Xenopus tropicalis: one gene and its partner. The protein of the gene in region 1 purifies or fractionates together with the protein of each later gene. This does not show direct contact. Links are inferred from orthologs where the notes say so. Each region holds a gene or a part of one and is shown on either strand. Other genes may lie near its edges.

What was found. The genes of interacting proteins can lie anywhere in the genome.
Region 2: the proteins of rab9a (region 1) and gdi1 purify together in Homo sapiens (affinity purification with mass spectrometry; 3 studies listed by BioGRID and IntAct, counting the BioPlex papers as one, with this or other methods). This does not show direct contact. The link is inferred for Xenopus tropicalis from reciprocal best matches to the Homo sapiens genes RAB9A and GDI1.

The regions. Positions count from the first base shown.
Region 1 is NC_030678.2:105,780,672-105,784,909, reverse strand, and holds the start of rab9a (ras-related protein Rab-9A), read left to right. Parts: upstream 1-1,438; 5' UTR 1,439-2,068; intron 2,069-4,238. UniProt on the Homo sapiens protein: The small GTPases Rab are key regulators of intracellular membrane trafficking, from the formation of transport vesicles to their fusion with membranes.
Region 2 is NC_030684.2:142,199-146,396, forward strand, and holds the start of gdi1 (rab GDP dissociation inhibitor alpha), read left to right. Parts: upstream 1-1,398; 5' UTR 1,399-1,492; coding exon 1,493-1,537; intron 1,538-4,198. UniProt on the Homo sapiens protein: Regulates the GDP/GTP exchange reaction of most Rab proteins by inhibiting the dissociation of GDP from them, and the subsequent binding of GTP to them. Promotes the dissociation of GDP-bound Rab proteins from the membrane and inhibits their activation.

The DNA.
Region 1 (4,238 bases):
CTGCTGCCAGGATCCTCCTGCTCTCTCCTAAGAGGGATCCTGCCCAGCCTCAATTAAGCTCACTAGCATGGCTGCCTGTCAAGCAAAGGATAGCTTACAAAATCCTTCTGCTGACATTCAAAGCCCTTCACTCCTCTGCTCCTCACTACATTTCTTCACTGGTCTCCCTACATGTTCCTGGTCGTCTCCTCCGCTCCTCTCAGAGCCTCCGTCTCTTTACACCATCCACACCCACTGCGCTCTCTCGTCTTAAACCTTTCTATCTCGCTGCTCCTTACCTCTGGAACTCTATCCCTGAATCCCTCCGTAGGGAAAACTTACCCACTCTCTTTAAGAAAAAACTCAGCTGTTACCTTCTGGAGCACTAAAACATTATTTTGCCCAGTCCTGCGCTTAAGGGCAAATGCCCACACCTGGTGCACTCTTACCTTCCAGTTTGTGCCTGTATGTTACCCAACCACTTAGATTGTAAGCTCTACGGGGCAGGGACCTCCTTCCTACTGTGTCTCATACCACATGGCACTTATATATATATATATATACATATATGTATTTATTTATTATATCACTTGTCCTCCCTGTGTGTAATTTTGTATTCTGTAAGACTGTACAGCGCTGCGTACCCTTGTGGCGCTTTATAAATAAAGTTATACATACATACATAAAAATGGTTCTGTTTTCCTAAATTCAATATATTGCAAACCTGCTTCTTTTTAGGTAAAAAGCTGTAAATGCAATACATATCCTTTAATAGAGGAAAAAAGAAAAAAATATAAACTGGTATTTTTTCCCATAAAAGGTGGCAACCCTAATACAACCCCGTATGAAAAGGGGCTTTAGGAGTTATATAATGTAAGCAAAGAGCTGACTAGATCGTATAAATTGCACTTGTTAGTAAATATGCCACACAATCCTTTGCGCTAGTGCCCCTATTTATGTGTGCGCAACTGCCCTAATAGGATTGTTTTTCTAATTAGAAGGCTTGTCACATGATTTTAGGGTGGCAAGCGATTTAGAAACAGCTTTAACCATAAGTATCGGTCATGTGCCCATCGTTTGACGTCTCTGGCCAATAGGTTAACGTTTCTCACAAACAGAACAAGTAGGAAAGCTGCCGCAATGTCTCCTATTGGCTGTCCTACAGATCACGCCTCTGGGCACAAGGGCGCTCCTATTTCCGTATACGCTCTAGTCAAGTGACGCGAAGGCGGAGTTGTTTTCGCCATGTTTTCTCAGGCGATCCAGTAGGGGAGCTCGCTAGAGAGAAGGGTCCCAGGTAAACAGCGCGGGTGATGCCGGCGGGGATGAAATGACATCAGTTTTGATGCGCTGGCTATAACTTTTCTCATGAAGGAAATATTCGTGTTACATGTTTGTTTAGCTCGGTGTTACGCTAAAATACACTGGACATCGTTCAGTACTTCGGTGCAGTTTGGATCTGTATTTAGGAGTCGTGTTTGCTAAATATGCTTGTCTGATTTATACATTGATATGGAATTGTAAACCAAGCTCTCCATTATACAGGCGTTAATGCTTACAAATATTTCTGTGCTCACAAAGCCATAGCAAGTCCATAGCAAATATTTCTTTTAGTTTCTTTTCCTAGACAGGTATGAGCTTTATTTGGTTATCATTTGCAGATTGTTCATCACATTTACATCCATTCCCCAGTGGGATTTAGAATATGAGATGTCCTGCCTATCACATGCACGCAACCGGCTTGCTTCACTTTCATAGGGGGCTCTGTAACCTGGCTGTATATTTTGTTATCATTTATAATGTGGAAAGACTAAGCGATTTGCTGGATATGATGGAAAAGTGATTGCTGGACCAGCAGTTGAAAAGATAAAGCTAATGTTGGCTGGTTTCCTAGGGGTTAATATTTTGTCACTAGGACAGAAGTGCAGGATGTGACAGCACAGGCCTCAGATCTAGGGTGGCAATCAATCGATTGGTCTTATTAAGGAATCTCTATCAGCTAATGATTTAACATTTATATTTGTTTTAGAAATCTGAAAATGATCTGTTGTACTTTGAGACTGCTGAATGTAAAATGCCCAGAAATCAGGTAAGGTGTGATCGTCTTCTAGGACTACATGCCTGAAAACTCATCTAAATTTTTTTATACCCAAATATGCCTTCTCTTTGTTAGTTTTCCTTTAACCTGTTATATATAAAATATGTTCTAAATGAAAAGTTTAACTAGCATCAAATTTACATACCAATTAGTGACCCATCAAATAATCATATCAAATTGTCATATATATATATATCATCAGTAAATATATAACATTTTTTTTCTTAACCTTGAGACACTATTTTTGGATATTTTGTGTGCTTATTTACTGTGGCAGTGTTTCAGTATAGGATTATTCAGTGTCATTTGTTTCTATTTTTCATGATAGTAAGCTAAGATAATAGGGAGCATCTAATTTATAGTATATACAAAATATTAGAAATAAAATACACGTCTTTGGTTAAGAGCACTAGATGGGCTAGATTCTAGTATATTGATATATGTATATATTTTAAAACATCATGGTAAAAATGTATGTAATCTCAGCAAGTTTATGGAAGACATTTTGAATTTTAACTCTTTGGGAGGAGTCTCATACTAAAAAAGATAATGTTGTTTATTTCTAGATATATTTTGCAGGGTCAGCACTAGAGTGTCCTACCAAGCAATTATCAAGAGAGATTTTCAACAATAAATTTATTGTAGTAATCTTAAACTGTAATAGGTGTATTTTTCAAATATATTTTGGTGCCTAATGATCTCTGAACTGGTCAAATGGATCAATAACGACTTGGGTTTCATTTGTAATGTTGTTAAGATGATTTTATACCCATACCAATGTGGTTCATTGAATGTTGAAAATTCACTTTCCCCAAAGTTGCATTGTTCATACTGGTTTGGAGCCCAAAGCAGTTATAAGCTTTATGGCTGTGGGGATTTTTGTACTCATTTATTTGTAGGTGTGGATAGAATTGTCATTACTAAAATATAATGTCTCTGGAATTATCTGGAACTTTATGTACTGGATAATCACAAATGTGCCGGTAAAGTAAGTAAATTGTGCTAATTCATTTTATTCTCAATGTTCTCTCATTTAGTAGGACAGAGATGCTTTTGTTTAACTCTGGTACAGACAGTCCCCACTGTAACGTGTAGCACTTGTTACACTATGTTTCTGCAGAACTTAAATTTAACCAATAGGTGTCTGAAATTACTGGTGTTTAATTTCATTTCTTAATTGGTGATTTGCTGTATAATAAGGTAGCCGTTCTTGGAGTTTTGTTTTTGGAATAGGCACTAGGGGAAGGATTTGCAGATTGAGTAATTTTACCAGGCAGATCACATGCACCTGTCAGATGCACACTGCAGTACCGTATATACTCGAGTATAAGCCGATCCGAATATAAGCCGAGGTACCTAATTTTACCTAAGAAAACTGGAAAAACTTATTGACTCGAGTATAAGCCCCTCAATGGTGCAGCATGAAAAGCATCCATATACCGGTAAACAAAATCTTTAATCCAATAACTAAATATGGCATTTCTGTATTCTTTAAATACAGTAAATTGCTGTTCTGGATGTCACTTCAATGAATACAAAATTATTCTATATAAATTTGATAAAACAACTACTGTGCCACTAGCCATAGAGCTTAGCAAGTTATGTAAACCTCTCATAATATAGAGACCAGTACATCTCTCTTTTTTATTTTTTCATTCATGACTGTACATAAGCTGAGAAGAACTGCATGTGGGTACTTTTGATTTAATTAGGTGAGCAGTGATTATGTAAAGAGCTTCAGAGGGGCCTCTTGATATTAATATGAGTGTATTAAGCAAGGCTAGGGCCCACGGCTAGCACAAGGATATCGTAACCAACTTATACTAAGCATTTCAACAGTGTGGAGTAATGAAAAAAATTGCTCCAGTGGTAGCATTCTATGCCCATAAATCCGCAGGTAGCGGCATATTTAACCTGATCACTTGCTCAGTAGGTATCAGTTACCAGTCTAAGTAAGGCTCTGGTTAGAGGGAGGTGCCACGGTGCTGCTCTTTGTGTCACTTACTGTCATGTTGGCACTCAACACTAACTATATAGTGGGGCTCTGTGCTCTGCTAGGCTGTTCTGCTGCCGTTGTCCTGGCGTCCACAGGGGTCCAGGGAGGGGGGGGCTCGGGGGGGCTCCTCAATGTGTCCCTATGTGCTGCGCGCTGCACATAATG
Region 2 (4,198 bases), on another chromosome or scaffold:
GACAACAGGCAGGACTCTCAGTGAGAGCAGGGTAATTGGGAAGATAGCAGACAGGACACCCAATGAGAAGGGGTAATTGGGCAGATAGCAGACAGGACACCCAATGAGAAGGGGTAATTGGATAGATAACAGACAGGACTCCCAATGAGAGAGGGGTAATTGGATAGACAACAGGCAGAACTCTCAGTGAGAGCAGGGTAATTGGGCAGATAGCAGACAGGACACCCAATGAGAAGGGGTAATTGGGCAGATAGCAGACAGGACACCCAATGAGAAGGGGTAATTGGGTAGATAACAGGCAGGACACCCAATGAAAGAGGGGTAATTGGGCAGATAACAGGCAGGACACCCAATGAGAGAGGGGCAATTGGGTAGATAACAGGCAGGACTCCCAAAGAGAAGGGGTAATTGGGTAGATAACAGGCAGGACTCCCAATGAGAGAGGGGTAATTGGGCAGATAACAGGCAGGACTCCCAATGAGAGAGGGGTAATTGGGCAGATAACAGGCAGGACTCCCAATGAAAGGGGGGTAATTGGGCAGATAACAGACAGGACTCCCAATGAGAGAGGGGTAATTGGGCAGATAACAGACAGGACACCCAATGAGAGAGGGGTAATTGGGCAGATAACAGGCAGGACTCCCAATGAGAGAGGGGTAATTGGGCAGATAACAGGCAGGACACCCAATGAGAGAGGGGTAATTGGGCAGATAACAGGCAGGACTCCCAATGAGAGAGGGGTAATTGAGCAGATAACAGGCAGGACACCCAATGAGAGAGGGGTAATTGGGCAGATAACAGGCAGGACTCCCAATGAAAGGGGGGTAATTGGGCAGATAACAGGCAGGACTCCCAATGAGAGAGGGGTAATTGGGCAGATAACAGGCAGGACTCCCAATGAGAGGGGGGTAATTGGGCAGATAACAGACAGGACTCCCAATGAGAGAGGGGTAATTGGGCAGATAACAGACAGGACACCCAATGAGAGAGGGGTAATTGGGCAGATAACAGGCAGGACTCCCAATGAGAGAGGGGTAATTGGGCAGATAACAGGCAGGACACCCAATGAGAGAGGGGTAATTGGGCAGATAACAGGCAGGACACCCAATGAGAGAGGGGCTATTACACAGATAACAGCCAGTGCCCCACCCTCCCATCTTTAGCCCCCCCAGTATCCCTTGCTGGGAAGATGCAGACGCGGAAGGATCTATTTTCACAGCCGCATAACTAAGGTCACACGCCCTCTTCCTTATTGTCCCTCTGTGGTGTCTGTGGGCCCCGCATGGGGGGCTGTTAGGGACTAAGTGAGACGGTGCCCGGCAGTGCAGCTCGGTACTAGCGATACTGGCTGTTGGGGGCCGTAGGGTGGGGCAGGGGGTGGGGTTAGAGGAAGGAACTATTTGCTGGCGCGGAAGGAGACAGGGCGGTGAAGCTGTTCCTCCATCTTTGGTCCAGCTCAGCTTCCAGCTCCGCACTCTCCCCTCACGGCGCGATGGATGAGGAGTACGATGTGATCGTGTTGGGTACCGGCCTGACGGTGAGTGGCCATGGGGGCCTGGCTGGGTACTGGGGGGTCCTACTCGCTCTTTTATTCTGGGGCCCCAGGAAAGGCTTCAGGGGGCAGTTACACGGGCTGGAGTGGGTAGTGCCTGGGGCAATTACTGTTATAGGCCTAGTAATGCCCTATGGGTATGGGGGCAGGGCCCCTCACTGTCAGCTGGGGGCATTGATGGGATGTATGGGGGCACTGACATGTACTGGGGGGAAATAACATGAATACAGGGCCGTGCCACTCTCTGGTACAGGCTGGGGGCACTGACACGTACTGGGGGGAAATAACATGAATACAGGGCCGTGCCACTCTCTGGTACAGGCTGGGGGCACTGACATGTACTGGGGGGAAATAACATGAATACAGGGCCGTGCCACTCTCTGGTACAGGCTGGGGGCACTGACACGTACTGGGGGAAATAACAGGAATACAGGGCCGTGCCACTCTCTGGTACAGGCTGGGGGCACCGACATGTACTGGGGGGAAATAACAGGAATACAGGGCCGTGCCACTCTCTGGTACAGGCTGGGGGCACTGACATGTACTGGGGGGGAAATAACATGAATACAGGGCCGTGCCACTCTCTGGTACAGGCTGGGGGCACCGACATGTACTGGGGGGAAATAACAGGAATACAGGGCCGTGCCACTCGCTGGTACAGGCTGGGGGCACTGACATGTACTGGGGGAAATAACATGAATACAGGGCTGTGCCCACTCTCTGGTACAGGCTGGGGGCACTGACATGTACTGGGGGGAAATAACATGAATACAGGGCCGTGCCACTCTCTGGTACAGGCTGGGGGCACCGACATGTACTGGGGGGAAATAACATGAATACAGGGCCGTGCCACTCTCTGGTACAGGCTGGGGGCACCGACATGTACTGGGGGGAAATAACAGGAATACAGGGCCGTGCCACTCTCTGGTACAGGCTGGGGGCACCGACATGTACTGGGGGGAAATAACATGAATACAGGGCCGTGCCACTCGCTGGTACAGGCTGGGGGCACTGACATGTACTGGGGGGAAATAACATGAATACAGGGCCGTGCCACTCTCTGGTACAGGCTGGGGGCACCGACATGTACTGGGGGGAAATAACATGAATACAGGGCCGTGCCACTCGCTGGTACAGGCTGGGGGCACTGACATGTACTGGGGGGAAATAACAGGAATACAGGGCCGTGCCACTCTCTGGTACAGGCTGGGGGCACTGACATGTACTGGGGGAAATAACATGAATACAGGGCCGTGCCACTCTCTGGTACAGGCTGGGGGCACTGACATGTACTGGGGGGAAATAACATGAATACAGGGCCGTGCCACTCTCTGGTACAGGCTGGGGGCACTGACATGTACTGGGGGGAAATAACAGGAATACAGGGCCGTGCCACTCTCTGGTACAGGCTGGGGGCACTGACATGTACTGGGGGGAAATAACAGGAATACAGGGCCGTGCCACTCTCTGGTACAGGCTGGGGGCACTGACATGTACTGGGGAGAAATAACAGGAATACAGGGCCGTGCCACTCTCTGGTACAGGCTGGGGGAACTGACATGTACTGGGGGGAAATAACATGAATACAGGGCCGTGCCACTCGCTGGTACAGGCTGGGGGCACTGACATGTACTGGGGAGAAATAACAGGAATACAGGGCCGTGCCACTCTCTGGTACAGGCTGGGGGCACCGACATGTACTGGGGGGAAATAACATGAATACAGGGCCGTGCCACTCGCTGGTACAGGCTGGGGGCACTGACATGTACTGGGGGGAAATAACATGAATACAGGGCCGTGCCACTCGCTGGTACAGGCTGGGGGCACTGACATGTACTGGGGGAAATAACAGGAATACAGGGCCGTGCCACTCTCTGGTACAGGCTGGGGGCACTGACATGTACTGGGGGGAAATAACAGGAATACAGGGCCGTGCCACTCTCTGGTACAGGCTGGGGGCACTGACATGTACTGGGGAGAAATAACAGGAATACAGGGCCGTGCCACTCGCTGGTACAGGCTGGGGGCACTGACATGTACTGGGGGGAAATAACATGAATACAGGGCCGTGCCACTCGCTGGTACAGGCTGGGGGCACCGACATGTACTGGGGGAAATAACATGAATACAGGGCCGTGCCACTCTCTGGTACAGGCTGGGGGCACCGACATGTACTGGGGGGAAATAACATGAATACAGGGCCGTGCCACTCTCTGGTACAGGCTGGGGGCACTGACATGTACTGGGGGGAAATAACAGGAATACAGGGCCGTGCCACTCGCTGGTACAGGCTGGGGGCACTGACATGTACTGGGGGGAAATAACAGGAATACAGGGCCGTGCCACTCTCTGGTACAGGCTGGGGGCACTGACATGTACTGGGGGGAAATAACAGGAATACAGGGCCGTGCCACTCTCTGGTACAGGCTGGGGGCACTGACATGTACTGGGGGGAAATAACAGGAATACAGGGCCGTGCCACTCTCTGGTACAGGCTGGGGGCACTGACATGTACTGGGGGGAAATAACAGGAATACAGGGCCGTGCCACTCTCTGGTACAGGCTGGGGGCACTGACATGTACTGGGGGAAATAACAGGAATACAGGGCCGTGCCACACTCTGGTACAGGCTGGGGGCACTGACAT